Oreochromis niloticus: one gene and its partners. The protein of the gene in region 4 purifies or fractionates together with the protein of the main gene of each other region. This does not show direct contact. Links are inferred from orthologs where the notes say so. Each region holds a gene or a part of one and is shown on either strand. Other genes may lie near its edges.

What was found.
Region 1: the proteins of npm1a (region 4) and eif3m purify together in Homo sapiens (affinity purification with mass spectrometry; 3 studies listed by BioGRID and IntAct, with this or other methods). This does not show direct contact. The link is inferred for Oreochromis niloticus from reciprocal best matches to the Homo sapiens genes NPM1 and EIF3M.
Region 2: the proteins of npm1a (region 4) and pum3 purify together in Homo sapiens (affinity purification with mass spectrometry; 3 studies listed by BioGRID and IntAct, counting the BioPlex papers as one, with this or other methods). This does not show direct contact. The link is inferred for Oreochromis niloticus from reciprocal best matches to the Homo sapiens genes NPM1 and PUM3.
Region 3: the proteins of npm1a (region 4) and gtpbp4 purify together in Homo sapiens (affinity purification with mass spectrometry; 3 studies listed by BioGRID and IntAct, counting the BioPlex papers as one, with this or other methods). This does not show direct contact. The link is inferred for Oreochromis niloticus from reciprocal best matches to the Homo sapiens genes NPM1 and GTPBP4.

The regions. Positions count from the first base shown.
Region 1 is NC_031965.2:24,244,719-24,252,563, forward strand, and holds the start of eif3m (eukaryotic translation initiation factor 3 subunit M), read right to left. Parts: upstream 3,009-7,845; 5' UTR 2,896-3,008; coding exon 2,854-2,895; intron 2,210-2,853; coding exon 2,077-2,209; intron 1,535-2,076; coding exon 1,396-1,534; intron 1,299-1,395; coding exon 1,175-1,298; intron 1,025-1,174; coding exon 930-1,024; intron 782-929; coding exon 698-781; intron 606-697; coding exon 506-605; intron 43-505; coding exon 1-42. UniProt on the Homo sapiens protein: Component of the eukaryotic translation initiation factor 3 (eIF-3) complex, which is required for several steps in the initiation of protein synthesis.
Region 2 is NC_031972.2:32,304,664-32,311,775, reverse strand, and holds the start of pum3 (pumilio homolog 3), read left to right. Parts: upstream 1-4,097; 5' UTR 4,098-4,360; intron 4,361-5,658; 5' UTR 5,659-5,670; coding exon 5,671-5,743; intron 5,744-5,824; coding exon 5,825-6,013; intron 6,014-6,341; coding exon 6,342-6,525; intron 6,526-6,615; coding exon 6,616-6,691; intron 6,692-7,112. Other genes in the region: cfap44 (cilia- and flagella-associated protein 44), read right to left, coding at 934-1,036, 1,843-2,005, 2,615-2,768, 3,584-3,659. UniProt on the Homo sapiens protein: Inhibits the poly(ADP-ribosyl)ation activity of PARP1 and the degradation of PARP1 by CASP3 following genotoxic stress. Binds to double-stranded RNA or DNA without sequence specificity. Involved in development of the eye and of primordial germ cells.
Region 3 is NC_031982.2:30,875,278-30,882,404, forward strand, and holds the start of gtpbp4 (GTP-binding protein 4), read left to right. Parts: upstream 1-4,118; 5' UTR 4,119-4,221; coding exon 4,222-4,269; intron 4,270-5,167; coding exon 5,168-5,338; intron 5,339-5,434; coding exon 5,435-5,538; intron 5,539-6,751; coding exon 6,752-6,888; intron 6,889-7,027; coding exon 7,028-7,127. UniProt on the Homo sapiens protein: Involved in the biogenesis of the 60S ribosomal subunit. Acts as a TP53 repressor, preventing TP53 stabilization and cell cycle arrest.
Region 4 is NC_031975.2:8,472,813-8,480,395, forward strand, and holds the start of npm1a (nucleophosmin 1a), read left to right. Parts: upstream 1-4,575; 5' UTR 4,576-4,693; coding exon 4,694-4,739; intron 4,740-5,837; coding exon 5,838-5,917; intron 5,918-6,174; coding exon 6,175-6,294; intron 6,295-6,452; coding exon 6,453-6,546; intron 6,547-6,661; coding exon 6,662-6,777; intron 6,778-6,864; coding exon 6,865-6,956; intron 6,957-7,583. Other genes in the region: kcnip1b (Kv channel-interacting protein 1b), read left to right, coding at 504-566, 1,332-1,379. UniProt on the Homo sapiens protein: Involved in diverse cellular processes such as ribosome biogenesis, centrosome duplication, protein chaperoning, histone assembly, cell proliferation, and regulation of tumor suppressors p53/TP53 and ARF.

The DNA of each region.
Region 1 (7,845 bases), on a different chromosome or scaffold from region 4:
GACATATGCTGCCAATTTGGCGCTCACAAAGATGGTTAATAGCTGAAAAAGAAGAGGGAGAAGACGGTCAAATGCCACTGTATGATGTACAATCAGCTTGTTCACAGAGGCTAAAAATTGTTATAATTATCTACGTCAGATTGTCGAAAACTATAGACGCACCCTGAATAATTTTTTGTCATAGACTGAACACACACAGGTAGAAATGTTCTAGATTCCTCAAGTGAATCACTCAAACTTAATAACCAGTCTCATGTTTGACGTGGATTGTACTGTCATGACACAGCATTATAAAAATAAATTTGTTTGATGCTTTATGTGCTTTGTGGAGTATGACAGGCACTGAAGGGCAAATTGTGATGAGGGTTATTGGGGCAGATGTTTCCATTTACATATATAAATATCCATCCATCCATATTCTTCCGCTTATCTGCAGCCGGGTCATGGCGGCAGAAGCCTAATAAATAAATAATTATAAATGCTCTATGCAATCTTTAGCACTTACGTCATGGATGAGTTCCCCCTCGAGGAAGCGAACAGGTTTCAGGGTGAGCAGGTGGTCAAACAGGAAAGTGTTGGGATCTTTGAGAGCACGGACGATACATCTAAGAGACGGCAGACAGACGCGTTAATGTACTGCTGAGGAGGACAATGCTGAAGTGTAATGTCAAGCGTTCAACAAGTTCTACAAGCTTACCTGTGGGCATCAACGCGTGCTTGTGAAGCATTGTCTTCTGTGTAACTTCCAAGTAGCTCAACCATCACTTTTGCTGCAGCTTCGCTATAAAATAAATACTTATATTGTTGAAAATGCTTCTGAGATATTCTATGCAGAACATTTTCATACAGTCTTATGTCCAAATTTTATCTTGTCCTTTTTCTTTTCTCTTGAAGTAATCTTTGCACAAAGAAACCCTATGTGGATTTACCTTTTCTTGCAGTCAACAAGTGCTTCATATACCAGCCTCAAAAGTGTGTGCTTCTTCTCTGTGTTCAGGTTCCAGTCAACAATCCACTTGCGCACCTGATTATGGGCACAAATACATATGATACATTAATTACAAAGGGCAAAAAGAAAATGCTGAAATATTGTTTTACTAGCTCAGTAAACCAAGGCACTGCATTATAGTGTTTTTGGCCAGTCATACGGATTAATCACCATGAATGTATATACCTGATCAAGGTCAGTGGGGATGAAGGATATGGCGTTACAGGTGGCGGCCACTTTGATGAGGCTGCAGAAGACTGTGTACCTCACGGGAGTGTTCTCATCCATGCCATGGAACAAGTTACTCAGCCTGTGACACCAGAAAGTAAAAGAGATTACATAATTGCAATTAAATAAGCAACCTCTTATTTTGAAAGTCTTCAGGGAAAGGACCTGATGGGACTCACAGCTGCATTCTGAGGGAGGGTCTCTCTCCTTCACGGAACTTCACAAGCTTCTCACATAGGCTTTCAATAAGAGCCTCCTGCTTGTCTGTCTCCAGGATCAACAGCAGAGACACGATGCTGTTCATCACGCTCTCAACATCTGTGGAGAGACATAGAGGGCCATGAGCATTAAGACACTGTTGCACAATTTTAGGGCATTAATTGTCAAACAAACATTTAACAAGACAGCAAATTTAACCAGACAAGTTAACTTAACCCTCTGCATCCCACAACAAACGTGGACAGGCGGTGTTTTTCCACTACTGTTTATGTACAAAAATGTTTTTATAGACAAAGTATATGAAGTGGCGCTAATGTTGTCAGACTCTGACACTAATCAAATGAACACTCATACAATGTGAGAATGTAATCAAACTGTTTATCAGAGGGAAAGTGTGACTTTTAAGACACTCATGGATAACATTATGTTGTAACCAGATGGTGTTGTTATACCCAGCTTGTTGTCCCCAAGATGGGATGGTCTGACAACAAGGAACTATGACAATATCCTGAAAGAGTTTACAAGTTTTATGCATGTTTTTGTGCATTAGAGCCCTGAGTTCAGTTCAGGAGGTGAGGCCTGAGGTGAGGATGAAGAGGATGAGCTAATCAAAAAGGAGCAGCAATTTCTTCATTGCCTACCTTTATCATCGTCTCTAAGGCAGACATCGCACGCCTCGATGATCTGAGCCAGATCTACATGAAGACCGCCTTCAGCGTTCTCCTCTGAGATTTCAGCTCCTTTAGATTTAATATAGGCTCTCAGCTCTGAAGCCTGCAGTACAAAATACATTTACATTAAAAACAATACATAAAATACACAATAAATACAGAGCATTTCAACATTTAAGAGAACGAAGAGTGGCAAGTTACGTGCTCGCATCAGAGTGGACATCATATTTAAGAAAAAGGTATGGACGACTTTATTTATCTATACTCTTGCATCTCTTTGTTGTGGCTGACTAAAATATGGACTGTAGATCTATAGTGGACAGCAACAAGCAACTGTTGGAGTGAAGGTATTATCCCATCTATATCTAGCCTGTAGAATCGTGTGTGTAGAATTTTTACGCCTTTGTTTGTTTAGATGTGCGGCTAAACAGCTAGCAACATTAGCTATTATTAAGCCCCAAAAGAAACTTACGACACGCTAAACCCCAAGCACAATGATCTTAAAAATATACCTATTAAATTACCTACAAGAAAATGTGGATGACAGGATATTTAACATATTTACTTAAAATGTTTTACCACGCATATCCTAACCATATGCGTGCAGATATCAGCTGCTACGACCGACGGTTAGCATTTTAGCTAGCGAGCATGCTAAGTTTTTTGATTGGGTATCATTTAGCGACTCATCCGCGACAATATAACGCTTATATCTACTCAACGAGTTATTGTAAACGTAGATTGTACCTGATCTTCTTCCGTTATGTCGATAAATGCTGGTACGCTCATTTTCTTGTGATTTTGTGAGCCTAGATGATGAAATCCACGCTCGCACCACTACAGAGCTCTGACCGGAAAAGAACAAGGAGACTGTGCCGGCGACAAAATTCTTCTTCCGGGTCATGTTTTGTTAAAGCCACAGTAGCCGTAATCGAAGGCTGTTGGTTGGCGCTTGTGTAATGTCCTTATTGCTACTTTTAAATACGCCGAGCATTAATCTAATGGACACGAATTAGACTATAATCTGATTCCTGTCCATCATTGTTTATATATTGTGAAAACTCCTAAATTGTAGTTGTCATGACTTCCTCTGGCTTCCATTGCCTCTAATTTATGTATTCCTCTCCTTTCCTGGAGGATTATCCCTGGATGTCTTGGATGAGAGGTGAACCTGAACCCCGTGAAAGGTTATCTGATTTAGCTGTAGTCCATCTTTGCAGACCACCATGGAAGGTCTGGCCAAGAGCTCTCCAAAGTAGGAAACACCGCCAGTGTCAGAGGGCAGTGTTCTTCACCATACACCCGCTGACCTATGGGTGCACGTGTTGGGCCCCTATACCATGTGGGATCCTGTGTATTGTTACAATGGCAGGTCACTTGGTGATTGAGGTGAAGAGGGTAAGTGCAGCAGGAGGTCACCCTGAAACCATGGAGTCGAGTTACTGACATCTAAGCACAGGGTGACGACACTGGAGTCTTATTCAACTCCAAGCTCCAACATTCACCTCATCTGCCTTTAGGATCTGTGTATTTTTCACAAAATCGGAAACTATGGAAACCCATGACACTGCATCATCACTGGCTAGTAGTCAGTTATTTCTCATAGCACTTACAGAAAGGGAACTTAAATCTGTTGCATTGAGGATAAATAGCTCAAAATAGTGGACTGAGGGGAAATGGCTGAAGAAGCGTTTCATCATAGTGCTCGTATGATGCGTCATCTTGTTGGGAAGGCAAGTGCCTGGTACCATATCCCAGCTTCACGCTCTCCCTGCCCTTGTGAGCTGTCATGGCAAAGAATTTATAGCCATTTCTCCACAAGTGTGCTTGTGTAACGCCGAGGCTTTCATTATCTGATTAACAGCTGTTGTCAAGTGCCTGGTGTATTTCAAGTCCAGAATAAGAGTTTTGTGTGCTTTGAAGCTCCAGGTGCATGTGAGACATTGTTTTTGTCTTCTTTAAAAGGTCTTTAAAGTGTCATGGAATGTTATGATGCTTAATAGTCTTTATCATATTTGTCGAACAGTGCTCTGAAAATAGCACTGAAATTGGAGTGCAATAAACCTTTTAACTCAGAGGAGCCCGTACCTGGTACATGTATTAAACTGGGATTTAGCGTGTCTTATATCATTATAAATCTAAACTGGCATAGATGATTTTAGAAGAAAGAAAATAGGCTAGCAGCAGCTATCACACTTTTTTCAGGTACTTACACTGATGTGTCTTAGGGTGTATTTTTCCCCCTCTTTTATTCATTTGTTTGTTTTTGTTAGCAGAATTTGTGAAAGACTAGTTGTAATTCTGCTTTTGTCAAGCATTGTTCCCGTATAAGGTTGTGAAATAATGGTAGACATTGCCAAAGATTTTTCATTAAAATTTTCTTTTAGGGACATGTGTTAGGGTAATTTCCAATTCTCCTTTGTGTGTACGTGTGTGTGTGTCTGTGTTACGGTAGGTTGTTATCTTTCTCGGGGGAACAGAAAGTGATCGTTTTCATGTGTTTATCTTGTAACTATTACTTTTTTCTTTTTTTTTTAAAGACTGCATTGTAGCTGTAGAAAAACTTCAAAAAGGACTAAAATGCAAATAAGAACTTTAGGTGTTGGTTCATGCTTCATCTTTAATATTCCTCTACCCACAGTATATGTCTGCTAAAACTAATTGGAAACAATATTTATTGTTAAATGTCTGCACTGACTTCATCCCTATTTGCTTGAAGGGAACTTGCACACGCTCTCATGCTAAACTGCTGGCAAATTGCCTGCTCAGCCTCCTCAAAGATAAATGACTGTGTCGTAATAGCTGGTTGAGCCCAGGTGTCTGTTTTCTCCCTGTCGACCAGCCAAGTGATGAGTATCCATGTAAACCAGTCTCATGGTTGTCATCCAACATGGCTGCCTACCTTCCACCCACTAATTGTCTGGTTCCCACAGTTCTGCCTGCTTTCACAGTCTCCAAAAGATCCCCTTGCTCAGACTCATCTATCAGCCAGTGACCTTGTCAGAGAGCATCGCATGAGTAACTTCCCTATTTCTCTAGGTGGAGCAAATCGCTTGTTAATTACTTATAAGCTGACCCATCCTCCCTTAAAAAAAAAGAAGTAAAAACATACAATTAACAAATAAACAATTCAAGTCAAGGCCTTAAGTATGAATAAGTCTAAGGCCAAAGTGTTCCATGGCATATAAAATCCTATGGGGCCAATCTAATGGGCTTTTATTGTTCATAAATGCAGGCAAAAACTGTATCATAAATCATTTTTATGACCTCTGGGTTTTTATTTATTTTTTTCACAATAACTCGTTTACTAGCACAGTTTACTTTTTTCCGTTCCGTACTGAAGTTATTTTGGATTTAAATTTGTCTTTAATCCTCTTTAGATAGTTTTTTAAAAAGTGCTAAGGCTAAAAAAGTGCTGATTAGGTTAAATTCACCATAATTGTAAGGGCAACTAGTAATTTTGGTTAAGTGTACAGGAAATGGATATACAATAAGTCTGTGTAATGTCCTTTGCAGTTTTGTGTGTTTCATTTTCCCGCTCTGAATACATGTTTGATGAGCAGTCTCATCCAGCTGAGTGCCTGTTTATTGTGATAGCTGGTCAGTTCTTGTGATCACTTATCTCCTCTTCAGTCAGATAATCAATCACGCACTGCAGCTAATATTACACCTCTGCACTTGTGAAAAAATCATTTTAGTCCACATAGAATTTCTAGTGATCGGCTGTGTTGTGTACACCTTCTAGATGGGTGAAAAAAAGTCTTTAGATCACCAGAAAAAAAATAATCAAACACCATTGTTATCTTACCACTGTTATCTCACATAATGCTCCGCTTTATATCACACTGAGGATCACAGCAATCAATCAGTGTGAGTTTGCATTTGTGGTTTTGAGTTATCTGAAGTTGCTAATCCCTCAATGTGGAATTTGTGTGCTCTGTTTCAACCTAATGGCATCAGCAGGGAATAAAAGCTGCTGTTTTCCAGGAATTCTGCCTTTCCTGTCTAGATAGATTGAGTCACTACACTAGAATTGTGGCTCTGTCGATGATGGAATGGCCTCTTGTCATCAGAGAGTGTTTATATTACACACTCTCACAGGCTAGTAGGGGCAATAAGAGTTTAAAAGTCACAGACACAGTCAAAAAAAAAAAAAAATCAAATGCGTTTCCACCGGGGATACATTGTGCAATGTCTGGCTCGAAGCTATAGATGCCAGAGCTCAGAAATACTAATTAGAGGCATGTTCAACTACGTGACCCTGTAGCTGCAAGATTCTGTTTAGACTGTTTCATCAGTGCTGATAAATGCAATGGTGAAGACAGAGAACAGACAACCGTTAAAACTTTCTCAGTAATGAATGTAACTGACTAAAAAAGCAGAATTGTGTCTTTCTTTTTCTTTTTCCAGAAATTATTTAGTGTTTTCAATCCAATTCAATTCAGCTTTATTTATATCTTGCCAAATCATAACAATGGAGTCGGGGCAAGGTGCTTTATACTGTACAGGAAAGATCCTACAGGATTCTGGAGAAAACCATCAATCAGCCCTCCTGTGACAAGCACTTTGTGACGGTGGGAAAGAAAAACCCCCTTTTAAGAGGATGGAACATCTAGCAAACTGGTTGGGTAGAAGGTGAGGGAGGGGCTGAAAGAGAAAAGAAAAGAGGACAGGGAAACAGGACAATACACGAAGTAATGAAGTAAGAAGACAACAAATGAATGACGTGGGGCAATGTTATACAAAGACTTGGGAATGGAAAAAAATTGAGTGGTGAAGATGTGCTGTTTACATCAGGTATCACATGAAGTCAGCCTGGCTACAGTGTTGAAACAAACAAACTTAGGTTGTTGTTGTTTTTTTCTTTTAATAGAGCAACAGACTTATTTTCCAGGCCAAACAAAGATCGTCTAGATTAGAACATCAACTTTTCCTTCCATGCTTATGAGTTATTTGTGTTAAGGCCTGCGTTTTTGTTATAGTAGGGAGTCAAACTTCTCTGATTTGTTGCTTTGTTTTTCAGAGACGCCACAGTATCTGATAATCAACCTCCTAAAGTTTAAGTACTTTTCACATCCATCCGTCCATTTTCTACATCCAGTATACTGAAAATGTATTTCCAGTGTTGAGTCTATAAATGCATTGTTGATGTTGTTATTTTCAACATTTACATGAATGTAAAAATCATTTTATCTCAGCTGAGCACTAGATCGGATAAAAAATCTGAGAAAATGAGTAGAAACTCTGAAAAAGGGCCAGGTGAATGACAGATAGCGACAAATAAAACAGGTGTTTTTGTGTTTTTCCACTAAGGTTTACTAAACTAGAGTAAAACATTGCTGCTGTTTCTCTTCTGCTTCTGCTTTCAGGATTTTGATAGTCAGCAGATTTCTGTAAACCAATATCAATATAATAATATACAAAAGCTCAATTATATGTTTGTATCAGGACTGAGAAAATTGCAGCAAATCGGTATTTCCTTACAACCATGTGTCAGAGCTCACAGTCTCATTTTGTGCTGATTGCGGTAACTTGTATATTTTCCCATCACTGTTCGCATATCTCAGTTATCCTGTAAACATTTCCTCACCTACCTTCAGAATGAGCCTCGAGGGTATGACAACAGTCTCTAACCACTACAGATATCTTAAAATGTTTTCTGATGACTGTGTATGCCTCAGGCACAGCTGCTAGGGTGCGACAGCATGGAAGAGGTTGTGAATTACTGTAAAGAACCGA
Region 2 (7,112 bases), on a different chromosome or scaffold from region 4:
GCTAACTCATTTCAGAATGGTAATAGGTGAGAAAGAAATTCTTGAATTGTGAGTGTCAGGAGTGTCTGAAGATATACTGGGACAAGCCTCATGTTTTAACTTCGCTTTGTTAAGGAGATATGATGATTCAAATATGCCTCTCATTACAGAAATCAAGCTGTGATTTTGAACAAGCTCTCCATTGACTTTCTATGGGGATTTTTGAGACTTTGTGTTGGTCTGAGGAGATTTGCCAAAATTCTATAAATCTCACAACAATGATGGTGACATTTTCTGAAAGCCAGCAAAAATACCTACGTTTTGATGTATAATTTGTGGAAGTTGAGTGAAAATTGAGCAAGTAGCAAGAAGTTGTTCGGACATGAAGAGAAGACTGCGAAACCTACAGTGGCACACTGGAAGCCAAGTGCATAGCAACCATAACAACGCATGTATTTTCTGAAAAATCACAATTTTGCAACTCAAAACTTTAAGAGGCATAAAAATAAAACGGTAAAAGATTTGAAAAAGCTGATTTATTCCTGAATAGCCCAATAATTTGAGAACATTTTAAAGTTTGAATGGTTGTTCTACGTGAAAGTAGGAAAAAGTAGTTAAGTTTCAAAAACAAGCAAGTTTTAGCAGAATTGCGGAAGTTTCCCATTCATTTCAATGGGACAAATTAAAGGAAAAAAGTGTAATATTTTAAAAAGTATAACAGTTAAAAATATCAAAAGATATAGCGTACATTAGCAGAAATAGCAGAATAGTTTAAAATTTGAACGGTGAAAATCGGCTGAAAATTGTGGAAGTAGTTAAGTGCCAAAAAGTGTACGGAACGCAACTAGAATAATAATAATAATAAAGAATAAAGAGAAACAGGAAAACAATAGTGTGGATGCCTTAAAGCATCCACACAATTAAGATAATAACTGTAAAATGAATCAGCTTTACCTCTGAGGATGCGGTAAGGTCGCAATGAAGGATATTCATAGACTATGATGTTAGGCTGTTTTCCCTTCTCTGCTACAACGAAGTACTCCTTGCCAGGGTGGGCCTTTAACCACACACACACACACACACACACACACACACACACACACACACACACACGTCTGAGAAAATGCAGTCATCAAGTGATTAATTATGCAACTGAACCAAATGCATTTTATAATAAGGGGTTGTAAATCTTCCTGTAAATACTGCATTAAAACAATTGAGGTATTACGTGTATGTACCTCAATCATTTCTGCTTGAAAACTGTAGGTGCATAAATGTACACTTCTGCAGGAAATCTTTGGAGTGCCTACGATATAACCTACTCGCCTCTGTCAGTGCGCCCCAGGGTGGCTGTGGCTACAATGTAGCTTGCCATCACCAGTGTGTGAATGTGTGTGTGAATGGGTGGATGTCTGGATATGTAAAGCGCTTTGGGGTCCTTAGGGACTAGTAAGGCGCTATATAAATACAGGCCATTTACCATTTACATAAGCAGCTGACCAGGTTGCTGGCATTTATCCTGGAGTTTTACATTTGATGCTAGCCACACTGTTAAATTATAAAACTAGAGCAGAAAAGTTGCTGGAAATGCATAGGAGGAATTTGCAGTAGTAAACAGGTCAATCATATTAGTTGCGGGCTGAGTCAACATGATGTGTAGTTACATTTCTAGAGAGGTGCATGCTGGGTTACACCATGGGCTTTCAGAGGAATTTGGGGTTACGATGTAGTTATGCCGTAGATTTCCCGCTAAAGCTTAAATCCCCAGTAGCATTATTTATCTCCTCAATGTGCCTGCTGCCAGTCACAGAGATTGCAGATTCTGTGGGACAGTTCACTTGCATGATGAGTAATTTCCCTTACCGTGATTGCTCCGATTCCCCCTCCACTGCAGGAGCGCAGGTATCTCTGCTCCTTGGTGTTCACATCGAGCAGGACGAGCATGTTCCCCGCTATAAAAATCAGAGTTCTGTCATCCAGCAGCTTCAGGTTTGCCCTGCGTCCACAGTCATAGCCAAAGGAGTGACTGATTGCATCATTAATTAAGGATATCAAAGTTAAAATTCACATCAGTGTTATAGAAAAATGTTTTTTTAGCAAAAGAAAATTACAACTGCTTTTTTATAATAATGTATCAATATACTAATATCTCTGTTCCACATACTGTTTATACATACTATTACTTTAGAAGCATTAGTATTAGCAGAGAAATATATGACACATACCATAAGATAATGGCACTATAATGCTACTCTATTAAACAATATTACTGCTTAGTCTATACTACATATTACATACAATATACACAACGCATGTTTAAATGTACAGTATATTATACTGAGCATTCATACTTACACATACACTTATATAATACAAGCTAAACATATAATGGCTGCAAACATAAGCACAATATAGAGTTAGGTAGTGTTTATAACATATTTAAATAAAATCGTAGGGTCTTTACCTTACAATATAAAGTGCCTTGAGGCGACTGTTGTTGTGATTTGCTGCTGTATAAAACTTAATTGAATTGAATACATAAAAGCTGGAGTTAAAAACTACTCAAAATAAACTATGTGCACTATTCTTATAATTGAACATGGGAATGTGTAAAATATTTTTCAGCAAAGGATACGAGAGATGCAGGAGGTTCTCTGGGATTTCAGAATCGGGTGTGATGTACGGTCTGGAGTGAAGCTCTTCATATTTGTAGTACATGTCTGCAGGGAGTTGCTTTTTTGATTGGCTCCCAGCCTCCTGCTGCATTGCTGAGTGCTTGGTATCACATTCTGCGAGGAAGGAAAGATGTGAAAACAGTTTTTAGTCGCTTGTGACTTGTACCATTTAATTAACTTTATTTTTCCAGTATTTTAGCAGTCATAACTTAGGAACTACAGGGGATAGCCACATTAAATTTTTAGTGCTGAATCACATTTATGTATCAATTTTACACCCACTCCAAGTGTAACATCTACAGCCAAGACCTTTCCTCCAGGACACTGTCTTCACAACTTATTTTCTGATTCAACCCAGCAACCCCTTCTTGCTTTAAAGTGATAGTGCTACCACCTCACAACGCAAACTTTAGCATTGTGAGGTGGAAAACTAAACGGAAAACTCGGATATCAGGTATTGTGAAATGGTTATACTGAAACTGGGCTTTACGTGGTGCATGACATAAAATGATCAGCAAACTGCAATAACAACGAAGTATCTAAAACTGATTGGGTTTAGCTTGGTACCTTTATTTACCCCAAAGTTGGGAGATTCCTTTGCTACATTAGCCAAAACTACTTAATACAACCTAGAACAAAGCTTAGATAGGTAGAATGAGGACATTGCTGTGTACAATAAAATTCAATATATCAAAATAAATGTCTCAATAAAGTAAAAAGAGAAAATGAGAGAAAAATACAACATTTTAAGTTCAAAATGTAAATATGTAAATTTAAAATATGAAATAAATTAATAATTAATAATAATGGATTTTCATTCATTAAAAGTTGCAATAAAGCGGGTTAATAAAGTAAATTAAAATATCTGACATAAAAAAAAAAACAATTATTAATTAAACTTGGGGGAAAATAGCATTAAGCTGCCTGACCTTCAATGTTTTCCTGTAAAGATGTCCGTGTGCTTTCAGTCTGTTCACTAACAGAAGCTCCGTTTTCTCCCAACATTTCCTGTTTGTTACCTGCTCTGTGAAACACACACAGACAGTCTATTATTCAAAGGTATTTATAGCTTGAAATGAAGGAAGTTAAGCTTTAGAATACGATAATACACAATACCACCAGATGGAATTAAAGTCCTATCGTCTGGATACGGCTCTGTAAAGTCTGTTGCTACGTTGCCGGGCAACGGCAACGGAGTTGCAAAGCCTTGTGGGTTATGTAGTTCTCAACCGTTGTCTTGCGTTTTTTTAAGTAATGGGTCGTAATTTTAAAGAAAATGACATGATTTTTTACAAACATGATTAACTTTAATATCAGATTAAACTAACTTGATTTTTAAGGAATTTTAAAGAATGTCAATTTCTAATTCACATCGATGTAACCACAGTAACGAGGTCTGCCCCTTTAAATCACAGTCTGTAAACAAACATGGCCGCGTTATAGTGGCTCCGAGCTCCACAAATCGAAAGAAAGAAGTTCACTTTTTGTCGGTACACTTTGGAACTGCACAACCAATTAAAGTGTTAAATATTGGTAGCTGAAACTAATAAATTTATCGGTGCGGCGTTTTTTGGCGATAATGAATTGTCGCAACAACCAACGTTTTACGGCAGTGGAGTTTAAGTTTGATTGGACGCTTTGTACCGTAAACCGTGTCGGTTATAGAACACATGGGACGGAGCTGAGGTAGCGTGTGCATCTGAAATGTGAGTTAACTGCTCGAAAAAATCATGTTTACGTCGTTATGTTATAACAAAATGCTATTTTTATTTGCGTAATAACAGTTGCTAACTTGTGTTATTTATGTTATTTGCTAAGTAGCTTGGGTAAAAGCACCAGAAGCGCTTTATGGATCGAAAACACACTTTAAAACTGTTATAACTGATGGAAAAGTGGTTCATTAAAACTAAAATTTAAGCAGAGTGTCGTCATTAACAGCACGGGAAGAAAAAAGGCTTGGTGTAGTTTCTTGTCTGTGGTTCTAGATTAACGCCTTAATAATTTACAAAGTGAGGAATAAAATAGTTGGCAGAGCCAGTAAGTGTATCACAGGGAAAGTTCCCATCTGAAAGTCTTCTAAAATCCACATGAATCTACTTCTGATGTCCTAAATGTGAGACGTGGAGAAGGTTTTGAAAAAACTGTGTTCTTGTCTCAGAAGCTCGGCTTTCTGTTTATTTTTATTCTGAAGCTAAAAGGCCAGGTCAATGTTTCTAAAGCCAAAATTGGGACCCCCCCCCCCCCCCCCCCACTTGTATTGTCGTCTGGTACAATGATTGTATTGTCAGATGAAGGCACTTTTGAACTTCACACCTACATTTATTGCTTTGCAGAAAGCTTCAATAGCTCATAACTTAAATCCAATTAGAATCAGAGAAACATTATCGTCAGACACTTTCGCCCAGTCCAACAAAGCTTCTCACTGCCTCGGTAAGATGATAAGGAATACTTTATTTTTCCCATATTTGGTTATTTGTTAAAGCAGTTTAAATAATGATCAGATACTACTAATATTTATTATTATTATCAACACCTGTCAGGTGCTTCAGATATATTGCGTTATAGAGGGTGATAGCATAGCAGTTTTTAGTTCTCATCAGTTGCAATCACAGAACCAGTCTTCCTGATTCCAGTTCGTAGAGTCTGTTATTATCACCAGCTCTAGTGCTGCTTCTCCTGCAGATCACAGCAAAGTACACTGTACTCGCAGTAAGTGATGGATAGAAAATGTCATCATCACTTTGCTGCACACAGTGAAGGATTGTGGTGCCTGCTAAGCCTCTTGTTGTATACAGCCTGAGTGTGACAGCATGAGCGGTCACTCAGTGGTTTGATGAGTATGAAAGATATATTGATCACATGCTAGCCATAGCCAACAAATTTCAACCCAGATAACCGCTTGTGGGAGATTGGCGTTCCATCCTTTTTTTTTTCTACTTTGATTTGTCACCTGCGTGTATGTGACTTGTTAATCTTCCTACTCTTGTCTCACTTTCTCTTTCAGACACACATTAGGATGGAAACTCAATCAAAAAAACCTTTTTCTCCTAAAAATGGGAAGAAGTTCATGCAGAAAGGAAAAGGAAAAGGTAAAGCATCTTTTACAACAATGCTTCCACGCTTCATCACATCAAACCAGTTTTGTGATTGGGTTGTCTCATTTTGCCCAGATTCCACAGGGACCAAATTTGGTGGAAAACCAGGCAGCAAAAAGCCCTTCAAACAGTACAACAACGCAGAGAGGAAGAGCCGACCGGGGAAGGGCCGGGATGGTGGCAAGAGAGAAACAAAGTTTTCTTTCTCTAAAGGAGGAAAGAGGAAACTGACAGATGCTAAAGATGAAGGAGGAGAGGGTGAAGGTGAGGAAATATCTTCTCTTTCCAGACCAAATCTGACACTGCCTGTAGACACTGGAGTTGGTTGTATATCATGAACTGAGCATAATTAACACACATACATTCTGCACATATACAGCACGTTATCAGCTCACTGCTTTTTAGTTTTAGAGTAAAAATAAATAAATACATGAGACGGACTCTATGTGCTACAGCGTGGATAGTCTGGCTGCTGAAACGACACATTCTGCTCTAAATCACTGATTCTGTTTTCGGCTCCTCCTGAGAGACTTTCTGTTAGAGGACGGCCTTCAAAAGCAAAAGTTCTGTTTCCTCTTTTGTGTGAGATCAGGTCCTGTGGCTAAGAAGGTGAAGAAAGGTGGGTTTAAGCCAAATGAGAAGCTCACAAAGGAGGAGCTGAAGAAGAACAGGCAACAGAGAAAGAAGGACCTGAAGAGGAGCCGACAGGAAGCTGAGAGGAAGGACATGTTCGAGATCATCAATCAGTCCAAACATATGTGGGGAGACCTCAGGAGGTACATGTACACACAGACTCACAGGGTTGGAGACAAGGCCGTCGTTTGTGTTGCTGCGGTTGGTTCAGTATCGGATGTTTGTGTCAACAGGAAGAACTGCGAGAAAGACCTGAAGAAGAAACTGCTGAGAGAGCTCCGAGACCTGATCCATGGAAAAGTCAAACAGGTTCGTCTGTTTGTTAGAAACTGCACATTTGGATTTTTTTTATTTTTAAACCTGTCTAACTTTTCTTTAAAATGAACCCATCCTCAGATGACCATATAATGGACATCCACTCTTGTTGACATCATACAGAGCCAAGAGTGGGAAAAAAACCTTCCTGAATCCTGATCATTTGGCTCACAGGGATTACTTGTACATACACTAGCCTAATCATATATGACAGAAAACAAAAACAAACGGGATAGGCTCCCATTAAGATGTACCTTTTTAAAATATAGTTAGGGTCATATTCTCTTAGGATTGATTATCATGTCTGCAGTTGACTCAGCAAGTAAACAAGCTTAAAAGTGGACACATGGAACACAAAACATCATAAAAACAAAAGAAAACCAGCAGATTCTTGGATTTTGTCTTTATTTTATGG
Region 3 (7,127 bases), on a different chromosome or scaffold from region 4:
ATGAGAGAGAGAAGAGGGGGGTTTGGAATGGAGAAGTCGGCGTTTCCTTTCCTTTTCGTGTGCAGCGCAAAGATCGTCTACAGCGCAGCTTTACCGGACATCCCAGTGGCTCAGAAAAATCTTTTTTTAAGTGTCCACCAAAGACCTGAGCTTCATTATAAAGATTTTTAAGTAATATAGCCCAATAATATCACATAGCTTCAAAGGGATTCACATATTTGAAAACTTACATCTCAAACCAGGCATTTAATCAAACAAGCAGCCTATCAGAAATATGCAGACACACACACACACATAATGCACAAGTAAAAATAAATCAGCAAAAAAATCCAGCAAAACATAATCAAAGAAATATATAAGAAACAATGTTAGTTAACAAAAGTAGAAGGAAAATTTGATACTAATCAGGAAGGCATGCAAATGGTCTTTATCTGCTAGATTACCAAACGTGGCTGAGCTCAACAGGCACGACTGTGCACTGCTATTCCTATGTTCATTATTTGGTAAAAGGACTAGTAAATAAAAATGTGTGCTTTAAGAGTTTCTTGAAATGATCTGTTTGCTTCCCTAATATTTTGATGTTCCACAGTTTGGGGGCATTAACTGTGAAAGCTGATAGCTCAAAGTTTGGCAGTGTAAGATCTAAGAGGGCGAGTCGGTTTGTGACAGACTTTTGGAAATATAAGAAGGTCCAAGACGAATTAGGATTTTCTATTCAGGTAAGAGCACTTTAAAGGTGGCTTATATTGTTTATCTCATGTCGATAGACTAACGCTACATGTTAAATAGGTTTATTGTGTTATGTTTCTGTATAGTAGGTAGATAGACACATCTTATAGTTTGAGTTGGTGCAAAGAATATTTATATATACACAACAGTGATTACAAATTAAGAAGATAAAACTGAAGCTAAGTTAAAAAATACAAAATTCAGACTCAGATTGTGCAAAAGAGTACTTCAAATGGCATTAATAAATAATATATACAGAATAGATCTAAGAAGGTATGTGGACTCTGCTGTCCTGACAGGTGTGTTCACCTGTCACAGAAAAACAGAGCTGTTATGCTGTTTTACAGAGAGCAGTAGGAATGATTTCCTGAAGCGTTCTTCATTCAGTGAGGTTGAACACGTCTGAGGAAGAATGAGCTCTGCTGCCTCTGTAGTGTGGAGCAGAGCAGGTGTGATGGGGCATGATGGAGAGCAGTTTGTTCAGTGACCTCCTGTTTCTCACTGACTCAAACGCCTCCAGATTCTGGCCAGTGATCCTGTGGAGCCTGCTGCCATCTCTGGCACCGATGCTGTCCACCCAGCAGTCAACTGCAAAGTAAACAGCGCCCTTGCTGCACACTGAGCTTCGTCAGAAAGCAGAGTCTGCTCATTCCCTGCTTGTACACAGCATCCCTGTTGGTCCTCCAGCCCAGTCTGCCATTCAAGTGAACACCCAAGTACCTGTAGCTCTGCTCTGGAAGTCAACCAACTCTTTTTTGTCTTGCTGACATTCAGCAGAGGTTATTTCCCTGCACTCCGACTCCTGCCTTAATACACCCACCCACTGCAGTGTCATCAGAGCACTTGTGGTGGAATGTTGCACACCTCAGATTTCCAGGACAACAGTGAGAAGTAAACAGGAATGGAGACAGGACAATCAGCTGTGGTCCCCAGTACTGATAACCACCACATCAGACATGGCACACATAACAGACAACCAAGTGAAGAAGCAATTTCAGATTCTATCTTCAGGCTCTTTGTTACTAATAGCCTGTCACAAAAACACATTTATTCCCACTCCCATAATGGTTTGACAGGAATATAAGTTACTCTTTGCAACAACAAGCGGATTCCCAAAGAGCTATTAGCTGCAACCACAGCATACCTAAGCATGATGTGCAGTGTGTCCTTAACAAATCTGAGTAACCTGGACAAGTGACGGGCCTAAAAACTGTCATGAAATCCAGAAAAGACCTGACACAGGACCTGAGAGGTGAATCCTGGACCTTCAGATAATTCATCTACTGTTTACTGAAGCCTCATCAGAAATAGTCTCAGTGGAAGGGTGGCTGTCAAGAAGTAATTATTAAGCAAAGGAAACTGGGAGAAAAGGCTGAGGTCTGCCAGATTACACAACAACTGGACTAAAAATCAGTCAACAGGTAAGGAAAGAAACACAACAGCGAGTATCTGTCTGTAAAACATGGTGGAGGCTCTGTCATGGTGTAGAATCAATGTTGTTGGGGATCTTGTCAATGCTGATGAAGTAGTGCCATCAGATTTTGACCCCCCATGCTACATCATCTTGAAAGTATCTGACTGGAAAGAGCTTCATTTTTCAGCGCGGCAGTGATCCCAAACAGACTGCCAGTGCAGTAAAATCATACCTGGATAGAAAACAATGGAACATCATCAGTCATGGATTGGCCTCCCCAGAGCCTGAATCTCAGTATTACAGAAGCATTGTTGGATCATCCTGACAGAGAACAGAACAAAAGACAGCCAACATCCAAAGAAGAGCTTTGAATGTCCTTCAAGAAACCTGGAGAACTATTTCTGAAGACTAACAGAGTTCAGGCTGTGTTAAATAAAGGTGGTCGTACCAAATATTGACCTTCAAGCTCTTTAGAATTGTACAAACTCTGTTTTTACCTTATATTCCATATTTCCATGTGAGCTGCCATGTTTCAGTAAAATGCTGCACCTATTTTGCATTTTTAAGCAAAATATAAAGAAAGACTTTCGCACAGGGCTATTTCATCATCAGTGCAGGGGGAAAGCTGACACTGAGGGAAAATTCTTTAAAGGGCTAACTTCCAAAAATGTTGTCGTGTTTTGGTTTTTTCTGTTCTGGTACTGAGTTAGCCGATACCGAGCCTGCGCTAAAGTCTGATACGGTTCTCACTGAGGCCGGAGGAGCAGAGCCAGAGGATCGAGGCGGATGTAAACACGAGCCGCTCTCCGTCAGCGGAGTGATACCTCTTCGCGTGTTTTTCTCTCTTTGAACCTAGCGCTGTCACACAGGGCTCCAGCCCCCGCCCCTCCTCCCCCCTCCTCTTACTCTTCCTCGCTCGCGCTCGCAGCAGGTCGTCCTGATTGGTCCATACTGCCCGTGGGTGCACGCGGATCCACTCGTGATCAGGGAGAGTGGGCGGGGTCACGGGGTATTGTTGTCCGCTGATTGGCTGCTTGTCGCTCCGCGCGGATCACAACAAGAATGTTTTTCATACTAGAGTCAGTGCTGTCAAAGCAGTAAGTGCGCGCGCGCGCGCGCACACACACACACACACACTCACATATGTGAATGATAAATAATAATTATTTATTATTAAATATTGTTTTATTAAAATGTAACCAACTTCAAGTTACAACGCTATAAAAAGTTTTCTGTTTATTATAGAATAATACAAATAACACAACCTTAAATTAAAATAAACATTAGACACTTTCTGGCAACTTGAAATATTAATAATAGTCAAAGTTTATCCAATTTAATGAATAAATAATAAATAAATCCAAAGAAACAAAGAAATTGTAATAATAATGAAAATGAAAAAAATAAAACAATTAATTAAAGCCACAAATACATAACAAAAATATTTTTAAAAAGTAGATTGCCATAACACAATATCTCAGTCACATAAAAGATAATCTGAAATAATAAAAATGACAATCCCAAAAAATTACCATGAATTCAAATAATAAAAAATACAAATATTTCAGACTTTCTGTTTAATATATTTGGAAAATCTAAAAAAAAGTTTTTAATATTCTAAAGAAAACTCTGCTTATGTAAATAGCAACACTAAATGAATGAATAAGTTTCTTTATTGTCACTGTGCAAAGTACATTGTGAAGTAATAATATGCATGTAAATAAATGCACACACTCACATATAAATAAATACACACCTACATGTGCATGTGTATATTTAAGTTGTTTTTATGTATCTCATACTCACACAGATAGATAAGATAAATTGTTATTGATAAAAGTTGTTAAGCTTTTGTGTCTCTTGAATAAATGTAAATGATTCAATAAAATCAGTATTTTTGCTTTTGATGATTTGGATTTCTTGTGGTTGTGTCTGTTTTTGTTGTGTCTGTGTCCGGACGCCAGGGGGCGGTGTCCAAAAAACACACACAAACTGTTTTCCGAGTCTTTTCCGGCTGTAGCGGAACTCCGGGCTTTCTTTCCCCGTGCCGTCAGCGGACCACAACGTGTCCCGACAAAATGGCACTTTATAATTTCAAGAAGATTATGGTGGTTCCCACCGCCAAGGTAAGTTTTACCTTTAGCTAACATCGCGTTTTAAAGGGGCTGAGGTTCGGTCCGACTCGCCGTGGGAAATGGCAGGAGATAAAAGATGGTGGAAAAGAAAACACGTGCCGTACTGGGCTGACGAGAACGCAGCATGTTTCAGAAAAGCAAACTTAAGACAGAAAACTGCTACACTGAGTCTGACATGTCATTATATGTAAATAAACAGCCAGTAATAGTCTGTTTTAGCCGGTGGTAGCTCTAATTTTCGCTTTCAGAACTACATTCACAAATCTGGAAGTGCACGTATGTGTGTTTTCTCACCTCTGTATAAGTCTAAGGCTGTTTGTTTCATACGTTTCTATTTCCTGTGAGCAGAGACACTGTTACTCACTTCGGCAGGTATAAGATGCTCTCATAACCTCGATGAAAACAGGCCTAATGACTCGTGTGGCTGCAGTGGTGTCAGTCCTTTTAAACACCACGTTGTGGCGGCCTACTATGAGAACAACGTCATGAAAGACTCTGCCTTCTTTCCTCAAACAGTTTTTTCTATATAACTTGTATGCCGAACTTTAAAAAACACTATAATTGGTGGTAAGCGTCATATAAAATTGTGTTATAAGCTGCTTGACTTGGCCGGTAGCGAGTAAACATTAAACTGATTGGTTTCTCAGGGATGTCTGGCTGGATTCTAGGAAAACCGATTATATGAGGTTTTATGGGCTGAATTACAGGAAAATTGAATTTTCTTGTACGTAATGTAACGAGTCAAGTATCGATAAATATAACCTCAAATAGCCAAATAATTAAAGACACTAGAGCCCAAAAATAAACACAGTTTTTCTGATGATGTTGTATTGATTTGTTTGTTTGTGGTGATCTGTGGCTGACCTTTACCCTGTTTAAATCTGTGCAGGATTTCATCGATGTCACTTTATCCAAAACCCAAAGGAAGACACCCACGGTGGTACACAAACATTACCAGATTCACCGTATCCGACACTTTTACATGCGAAAGGTGAAGTTCACCCAGCAGAACTACCATGACCGCCTCACGCAGATCCTCACCGACTTCCCCAAGCTCGACGTAAGAGAAGAAACTTTGAAAGAGACTCCTTTCATTTAAATATCTGGTCAAACTCGTATGATGCTTAATGTTACGTGATGTTTTCCGTCTCCTCAGGACATCCACCCTTTCTATGCTGATCTAATGAACGTCTTGTATGACAAAGATCATTACAAGTTGGCCTTAGGACAGTTAAACATTGCCAAGAATCTGATTGACAAGTAAGTTAATCTAAAATCTATTGCTGGTTATTGTTGTGCTGTGAACACTGCTTTCAGATCCATGCTCTGCTTCGTTCCTCCTGATGTACAAATCTGAATCAAAAGCCTCTCACTCTGTTTGCTAGATGAGTTGATGGATGTAAAGCTTTGACATCTTCTGTGGTGTTTGCATACAGTGCATGTTTTGGAACCTTGGAAAAATATTTGTGCGAGGCGATAAGATATCATGTGTCCAGTATGCTGACCATTTTCTTAAAGACTTTGTTACTCGGTTTATTTATTGGAGGCTTACCTTGAGAATGAGAGTCTGGTTTCAGTGCATTTATGTGAGCTTGGTGGGTATGCTGATGCGCTCAATAGGGCTACTTTTTCGAATGTCCAAGTTTGCATTAGACCATTCAGATTAGCAGCCACTGCATTGTTTTTCATGCATTTATATTACACCTTCAGAAACTTCAAGCTACAGAACAGCTGTGATTGGCTCCTGCAGGCACAGGCACTGATTTATGGAGCGCCTGTTATGCTTTTGCTTTGCGTTCTATTGCCAGTGCCTTTACATTAGATTAATTGTGCAGCCCTAGTTACATCAGTGTGTTACTTCAATCACATGTAAGCACCGGCAGTTGTCAGTATTTTTCTTCCGGTCTAGAGCTCTGACTCGTGAACATAATTTATTTTTTATTGCACAAAGAACAAGAGGATGATGGCAGAGTGCAAACATAAGCAACTGTCTGCCGCTGCTAACAGGATGTCAGGTCCTTGCAAGCATCTGCAAGACAGCATGCAAACAAAATGCGAAGAACCTGAAGCTGAGCGTAATCAGACCTGCAGTGCAGCAGCAGGACTTAACGTTCTACCTGTACATATTTCTACTGTTGAATGTGTCGATCGCTGTTACGTGCTTCTCTTTGGGCTGGTTTTCAACTTTGCTGTGAGCTTAGTGTTAAAATTAAAACTGTAACATGATCACACACGTCTCCTGTGTGTCCTCATAAGGTTTATATTGTTAAGTAAAACTATGTGACATTGTTTCAAAGTAATGCAACAAGTAGTGTAATGAATCAGTTTCTCCTGAGGATAATCAAGTAATTTTATGCATTACTTAAAAAAAAGTGACTTGTACTACATTACTTTTCTGAGTAACGACCCCAACGCTGGTCTAGACTTACTCTCCTATAACAAAGGAGTGAAGAGGCATCTTTTGTTCTTTCAGTGTTGCCAAAGACTATGTGCGCCTGATGAAGTATGGAGACTCTCTGTATCGGTGTAAGCAGCTGAAGCGAGCGGCTCTCGGGCGTATGTGCACCATCCTGAAACGGCAGAAATCCAGCCTGGAGTACCTGGAGCAAGGTGAGGAGGAGGAGGAGAGTTTAGGCTGTGATTGAGAATCTGAATCTGTCCAAAGTTGTACTTTTCCTTTTAGCTGAGAGGTTTGAGTAGTTCAGTCTGTTTCTCCTGTCTTCATACGTAACCCTTACTCATCTTTCAGTGCGTCAGCATCTGTCCCGTTTGCCAAGCATCGACCCAAACACGAGGACCCTGCTTCTGTGCGGTTACCCCAACGTGGGCAAGTCCAGTTTCATCAACAA
Region 4 (7,583 bases):
GAAGCGGTTCCCAGACCTCAACAGTGAAAAGAGTCCAATGTTGGGACGGGAGAGGTCCATCACAATCTTCCTGGCTTTAGTCTTGCACCGCTTGGTGTAGATGGACAGCAGGTCAGGAAGCTCTGATCGAATGACGTGTTTGGCTGAGCGCACCACTCTTTGCAGATCTTGTCTGTCAGATATTTCCCATCAGGACGCTCTGGTTGGTGCAGAAGTAGAAGTTCTTAAGCACCCTCATTTCAAATACAGCGCAGTATTAGCACAGTGACATCACTCGTGGAACATTTTATAAACCTTATGAGGTTTATAAACCCTAGTGTTTACGCATTATGAAGGAAAGCAGGCTTTTAATGTCTCTTGTCATAACCCTGTAACTTCCCAAGAAACCTTTGTTGGTTTATAGCAGCTTTGTAGTCATTATTAGGTTGTTTCATTAGCGTTAGGATGCAAGGCAATGCCATCAGAACAGAATGAACAAAAAAAAAATAACTGTTTCTCTACAGAAAATGGATAAGAACAAAGATGGCGTGGTGACTTTGGAGGAGTTCATTGTAGCCTGCCAAGAGGTCAGTATTCTTCTTCATGTGTTTTTGTCAAATGAATAGTTAAAGAATTAAAATATAATACTCACTCATACACACTCATTAAACCTGACCCAACAAGAAAAAAAGCAACTAGTTTCTTACTTCAGCTTGTTATTCTAGTCGTGAAACCACCACTACACTTGACTCAAACAGCCTCTCCTCCTCATTCATAAAGTGGTCTACGAACACTAACATTACGGCTAACAGGTGGATTCTCGCATTTCAGTGCAGCTAGCTAACAATGAAAAGCCACTTACTGTTTGAAAGACAGAGAGTGAATGTGAACAGTATATCCTGTGTTATTTAAGCATAAAACTAAAGTGACACTTTTAGATTGCTTTTTAGTTTTTGTTTCTTTCTTTTCCATTGAGTTATTGGTTATTTTACTAGTCAGCTAAAATAATTATTGTAAGTCTATCAGCAGCAACCAACTAACGCAGTGACATTATGTTATGTACTGGTGCAAGATGGCACTATACATGTTCTAAAAACTTTAAACACTTATTTTTTTTAAATCCAGCTTCACAGACATTGTTAAATCTGGCCCTTTTTTAGAGAAGGACTCAGTAGTGTATATTAGCCTGAATACATGCAGTGTTAAAAGTGTAAATAGGCCCACATAATTTCACCATTACTTAATTTTTTTATGTCAAAAGTCGCACACAAGAAAAACCACAATCCATCAGATGATTTCATTTCACAGACGGAGGTATTCAAAATAATTCCATACACTCTTTGTCTCAACAGGATGAAACTATGATGAGATCCATGCAGCTGTTTGAAAACGTCATGTAGAACAAGCGGAGAGGGTGGAGACAACCACATGGAAAAATGAGAGGGCTGAATGTGAGTGTGTGTGGATGCATATGTGCAGTACATCCAGTCTCTCCTCCTCCTCCTCCTGTTTTATCCAGCTGTGGTCAGGATATAGGCTGAATCCCCCACAATGACTTGTATGAAGGGACTGGACTGGGATGCTCTTTAGTGCTCCTGACGAGTTTCGTCACACAACACAAAGTGACTGATGTGACAGACATGGATTTTAACACATTCGTCTCTGTTCTGTCATGAAGACGAAGATTGGCCTGTTAAAGATGAAGCTGCTCATCCATTATGAGGCTGCTCCTGACCAGTGAAGGGCGATGTGCTCAAGAAGCTGAACATTTTATTTTATTTTTTGCCAAGAAGCAGTTGGGGTTTGTTTGTTTATTTGCTTTTTTTTTTTGGTTGTTTTTTTGCCAAAGTATGATTGCATGCTTGTTTTATTTCCAAACTTTTTGACAGATTTGACCATAAGTAAATCTATACTTGTGTCTCATGCATCTTGTGGTTGACAGATATGAGATATTGCAAATGTTGTACGTTGGTTTCACTGATGCGGTGACCCTTGTAAATTTGTGATGACCTGGATGTCGCTTGTGTGCTGAGTCTGTGTTATGCTCGTCTGTCCAAAACTTACAGTACAAGTCAAATAATTTTAAAGCAGCACATTTCCTGGGTCTTACATGGTGTGTGTGTGTTTATCTTTTCTTTTCTTTTTTAGTGAAAAAGAAACCGATTCATTCTTTTTTCATATTTTCATCTGCTGCTTTCCTGCTTGTGGTCAAATTGGTGTATTGTCAAAAATGTTTTTTAAAAAAAAAGATTGAAAAAAAAACATGAATACGTTTTAGACATAATTATGAAATACCCGCAAATCAAAGATGTTGAAGAAGAGGCTTATTAGATGTTTATTTGCACAGATGACAGGTAATCGAGGCGTGAGTCTCAGATGGAAACAGCGATGTTACAGAAGAAGTTTTGTCCAAAAGACATCACTGTGTCAGAAAAAGCGAGACGTTTGCTGCTGGTCCATTCCAGCAAAGAACTGAGAAAGCTTCTGATAATCTTGCAGGGAAAACCCGCTGAATGTCAGCTTTGGAATGTGATATGACACTGAGGACAGCTCCACTTGTAATAATGAACATTTGGCACTGTGTCCTCCATCCAAACAAGGACAGTGATGTCACACTGACGTAAACGGTACACAGAAAATAGGTTTTTTCTGCAGCAGTAGCCCGCTGAAGGTTTCCTGTGAGTCGTGGTGTGTTTAAATGCGCCACCATAATAGAAAACTCGCAAGACTATCGTAGTTTAGGCACTAAAATATTCATTGCTGTTCTTTTTCGCAGTCATTAGAGAGGCTCTTTTGCTGCACCGTGCGACCGTGTGACATCGCAGCCTCAGGTCTCGGAGATCTTATTTTGGAATCAGATTATTAAATCTCACCAACAGGTTCATTCTAAGCCATATGAATAAATGTGTCAATTCTTAAATTTGACTGGTGTGCCTTTTTGTATGCTTTTAAAAAAAAATGTAATGATCATTAGAGCAGAAACCTACATAAATGAGTGAAGAACACAAAAACACAGTGCAGGCTCTAAGGAGTCACTGAAAAATTTAATGAGTATGAAAACTGTGTGAATCATATGCCATGACATTTGCAAGTCCTCAGACTTGAACCTGTTTTGGTCATGTTAAGTTAATTAGATTTTTCTCTCTTCTTACCCGTCTGTATTGATTTAGCTCAACTATTCAAACTGGGGAAAAAATCTGAAAAAAAAAAAAACATTTTTGGTGAAGAAATTGCCCATCTATCAACTATTTGCTGCTAACTTCTTGGCATTTATATTATAAGTACAGTTCTGTGCAAAATTTTAGATCTTAATCTTTCTTCATGGTGATCAAATTCTTACAGTACTTTTCTGCATTCCTAATTTCATCAGTTATGACAAGATCCCAACATCTAGCAACATCGAGCCCAAAACATGACAAAGCTGCCTCCATGTTTTACATATGGCTGTAGAGAGTCACTGTTGGGTCTCCTGACGTCTTCCACAAATGAAATTTCAGGTTTGTGTCAATCACTCCATAAGACCTGTTGCCACAGATTTTCAGTCAAGCTCTTCTGTAACTTGGCACACCTCAGACTCTTATCCCTGTTTCACTTCCCTGAGAGTGGCTTTTCAACAGCAACCCTTCTACTGAGATCATTTCTGATGAAGCATCAGCAAACAGCAAGTAGATCAACTGATCAACTGGTTAAATCCATCTCTCAGGTCCTGTGTCAGGTCTTTGTTGGATTTCTTTTTCTACTTTCAAATAGTGTCCATGTGCAGTAGATAGTTTTTTGCTACTTCTTTGACTTTATGTCTTGAAGGACACACTGCACACTATATGGCAGGGTTTTTTTTTGTTTTTTTTTGGCTAATAGCTGTTTAGAAATTACCTTGTGATGAAAAAAAAATTATGCCTATCAAACTGTGTTACCTTTGGCATTTCTCATAGACTGACCCAACAGGCTACTATGACAGGCAACTAGTAACAAGGTGCCAAAAGAGAAAATTTAAAATTGGTTCTTTAAATTGGTTCAAGCTTCATCCCTAGAGTTAGGTGTCCTAACTCAGTCATTCTTGAATGACTGATAGATCAGTGTTGAGTGGCTTAAAAAATAACTTTGAAATTAATTTGTTATTGTAGGGTCTTTACATTACATTACACCTTGTTGCTATGATTTGGCGTTATATAAATAAAATGGAAAAAAAAAAAAAAAAAAGTCAATGTCCAGAATGAAACTTCTTCTTCAGAAGATACCCAGAAAAAAATACAAGAAGGTCTGGCTACCTGGAAGTGAACTATAAAGAAATAAGGAAAGGCTCAAGACGTTTTCACTCTGCTGACACCTAGAGGCAGATTTTCAGCTACAGAACAACATAATAGGTTTGATGCGATCGTAAAATTAAAGGTTTATGTAAAGAAAACATCTTAAATGACTGTAGTATGCATGGGAAAAGAAATGAAGGACTATAATGTTGAGCCGTATCTCAAAATGACCGTAATTCCTAACAGTCAATGCGCTTTTGCGCTTTTCCAACACAAACGATGGAGCTAGCTGCATGATGCCCTGTGCATCCTGTAGGTGGCAATGTGGGCTGATTTTCTTTACTCCGTGCCTCATTGAGAATAGAAGAAGAGCGGGAGCGCTGTAGCACGTTAGTTAGTGGCTGCTGGTACCATTTGGTTAATCTTCTACAGCATATAAAGAGTTTGTCAGCGTCCTCGTCTCCAACATGAACGGGCTGGATGAACCAATGGCACCACAAAACTTTCTTTACGGTGAGAGCACCACTTTGTTTTATGTGTGGCTTGAGGTTGTTTTATATTCTGTGTTCTCGTGTTTTTTGGCGTTAGCAACAGATACATTACATGTAGCATGCTTAGCTGCACGTGCCTTCTTCCAGACGAAGACAGTGGACCTGTTTGTATTTAAAACATTTAAAATGTCTTGTGTTGTTAGTTGTTATGAGTCGTGGCAGGAGGTTGAATGAGTCCTGCTGAGCTGCTGTGCTTCAGACCACTTTGCCACACACGTGCTTGATTATCAACATGGCGGCCCCCGTGATTTATTAACTGAGTTGATATCTGATCAGTTTCTTTAAAGAGTTAGCGCTGCTGTTCTATTGAAACACCTGCTTTTTTAGATGAACTGTCCCCCTGACGCTCTTCTTCGAGCTGAAAGTTTTCTGCTGGCCGGGGAAATTGGTCTCAACGTGGCTTCAAACACACGCGGACCGCGTTGACCTCCTCCTGCGACTGCATTTTAAGCCACCTCAGATCTTAAAGAGTGTTTCTATTCTTCATCTGTCCTTCTGCCCTCTTTACTCACTAAAATTTAACCTCTTCTCTTAGGATGGATACTTCAGACACCGTTTAAACAGCAGATACGTTCACAGTGTACTGGTTTAATGAATTGAAAATAGAGAAGTTGCAAATTCTGAGGTGATTTAAAAGAGCAAGAGCTAAACATTTTTTTCACACACAGAAACCAAGCCAAATCCTTCCAAATCGTCTTAATCTGATAATAGATTGTTCCAGATAGGTGATGATTATCCAAAGCTCTGCAATTGGCTTTTAACCCAGGTTAATTGAAATGCCATAGCTGTAGAGGATGCATATTGGAATATTAACATGGCACGTGTCTTTGCTAGGTGTTTCAGAACTTTAGCATAAGTTTTGAAGTGATTTTCAGTTCTCCCCCTTTCTTCATTTGAGGGGAATTCCTGCTGTTGCCATGTGACAACGTTCACCCCTTGTTCTGTAGGGCTCCCTCTTGTGTGCATCTTGAATGTAGCGCTTTACACCTAAGTGGTTCTACTCATTTTCTACATTTGTATTCTTTTAAAATAAATCATTTTATTGAAATCTCTTAATCAGGGTGTGTGCTGGAAGCTGGAAAGGAAGTGGTCTTCAATCCTGACGACGATGACTTGGAGCATCAGCTGGATCTGAGGATGGTAGGTGTCTTTGATGCAGTTTGTTCATCCCTGTATACTTGAAGCTCTTACCATCGGGCACACAGAATGTAGAAAATGTAGTGCAAAGCGTACAGAAAATTCTCATATTTCATTGTGTCCCACACACTGAGCACATTACTTGTGTTTTGTGAAGAGAATGATGCAGCCAAGTGGTACTGTGAATACCAAATCGTTGGTTAACATTTTCAGTTTGAAATTTCTCACCACCAAAACGTCAAATGTTCTGTTGTCTTTAGGTGTGTGTGGACCCCAGCACAAAAGATGAACTTCATATGGTGGAGGTAGAAGGGCAGGACGCAGAGGGTCAGAAGGTCAAGGCAGTTCTGGTTTCACTTAAGCCCTCTACTTTGCCAAGTGTAAGTAAACTTTCTGCTTGAAAACACACCTGGGCGAGCAAATGATTTCATGCTTTAGTCTTCCTTAGCCTCACATGTAGGGGCTTCTGTGCTGCTACCTCAGGAAAAACTGCTCTGTATAGTCTTGCAGCAGCTGTCTTATGTGTGTTTTGTTGCAGGCGTGTCTTGGTGGTTACACAATCACACCCCCAGCAGTTTTCCGCCTGAAGGCAGGTTCTGGTCCGATCCATATCAGTGGACAGCACCTTGTCAGTGAGTATTCATAATTCTGAGACTGTGGTGATAACCCTCAAACAATCAAGACCCCTCGTAGCACAGCAGACTGAGTAATTTTTGATTATAAATTCCTTGTAAATTGTCCCCGCAGTGATGGATGCAGATCAGTCTTTTGATGAAGATGATGAGGATGACGACGATGAAGAGGAGGAAGATGTCAAAACATCAAAGAAAAGGCCTGCTGCTTCCCCTGCTGCAAAGTCTCAGGTTTGTTTGGTTTTTTAAATCGGTGTTAGTATAAAGTGTAAACTTGTCACTGTAAATCACATGACTGACTTTTAATCTCCTTCACAGAAAAAGATGAAAATGGAGGTGGAGGAAGATGATGACGACGACGATGATGATGAAGAAGACGATGATGATGATGAAGACGACGACGATGATGAGTGAGTGTCTGACCACACAAATGCAGTGAAGTCCTTAAGTTGACGTCCTCATGCGAACAGATGGTAGCTTTGCATCTTTCCTCCTCCTGCCTTTTAAAGAGCTGATGACTGTCGGGAGATCAGTTGTTAAACATGGCCAGCTCTGGGCAAAGTGTTATTTTATATTTGGGTCACTGCACTGCTGGGAAAAGAACGTACTTCTGCTCATCTTGCCGCCAGCATGTGTAGCTGGCTTTAGTTGAAAATGGCCCTTTTTTTTTTTTTTTTTTTTTTTGTTTGTTTGGTTTTTTTTTTTTTTCCCCGACCAACTGAAATAGTGAAAATGAAATTCATGGCGAAGGTCAGATGGCTTTTGAACACCTGTCCTATCATGTTTTATAAGAGCTTATTTAATAATTAATAATAATTATTTATTAAATAATGCTTAATGGAGCTTTCTTCATAACATGATAAAAGCAAAACTTGTAGGAAACATCTAAAAACTGGTTATATTATTTGTAGCCACAACAGTGTGCAGTTAATAGTTACTGTCATTATGAAACTAGGGAAAAGGTTTTCCGGTCCATGTCAGACTTTGCATAACCCATGTCCATGCTACAGAGGTAGCCCCTCGTTTAGAAATAAGGT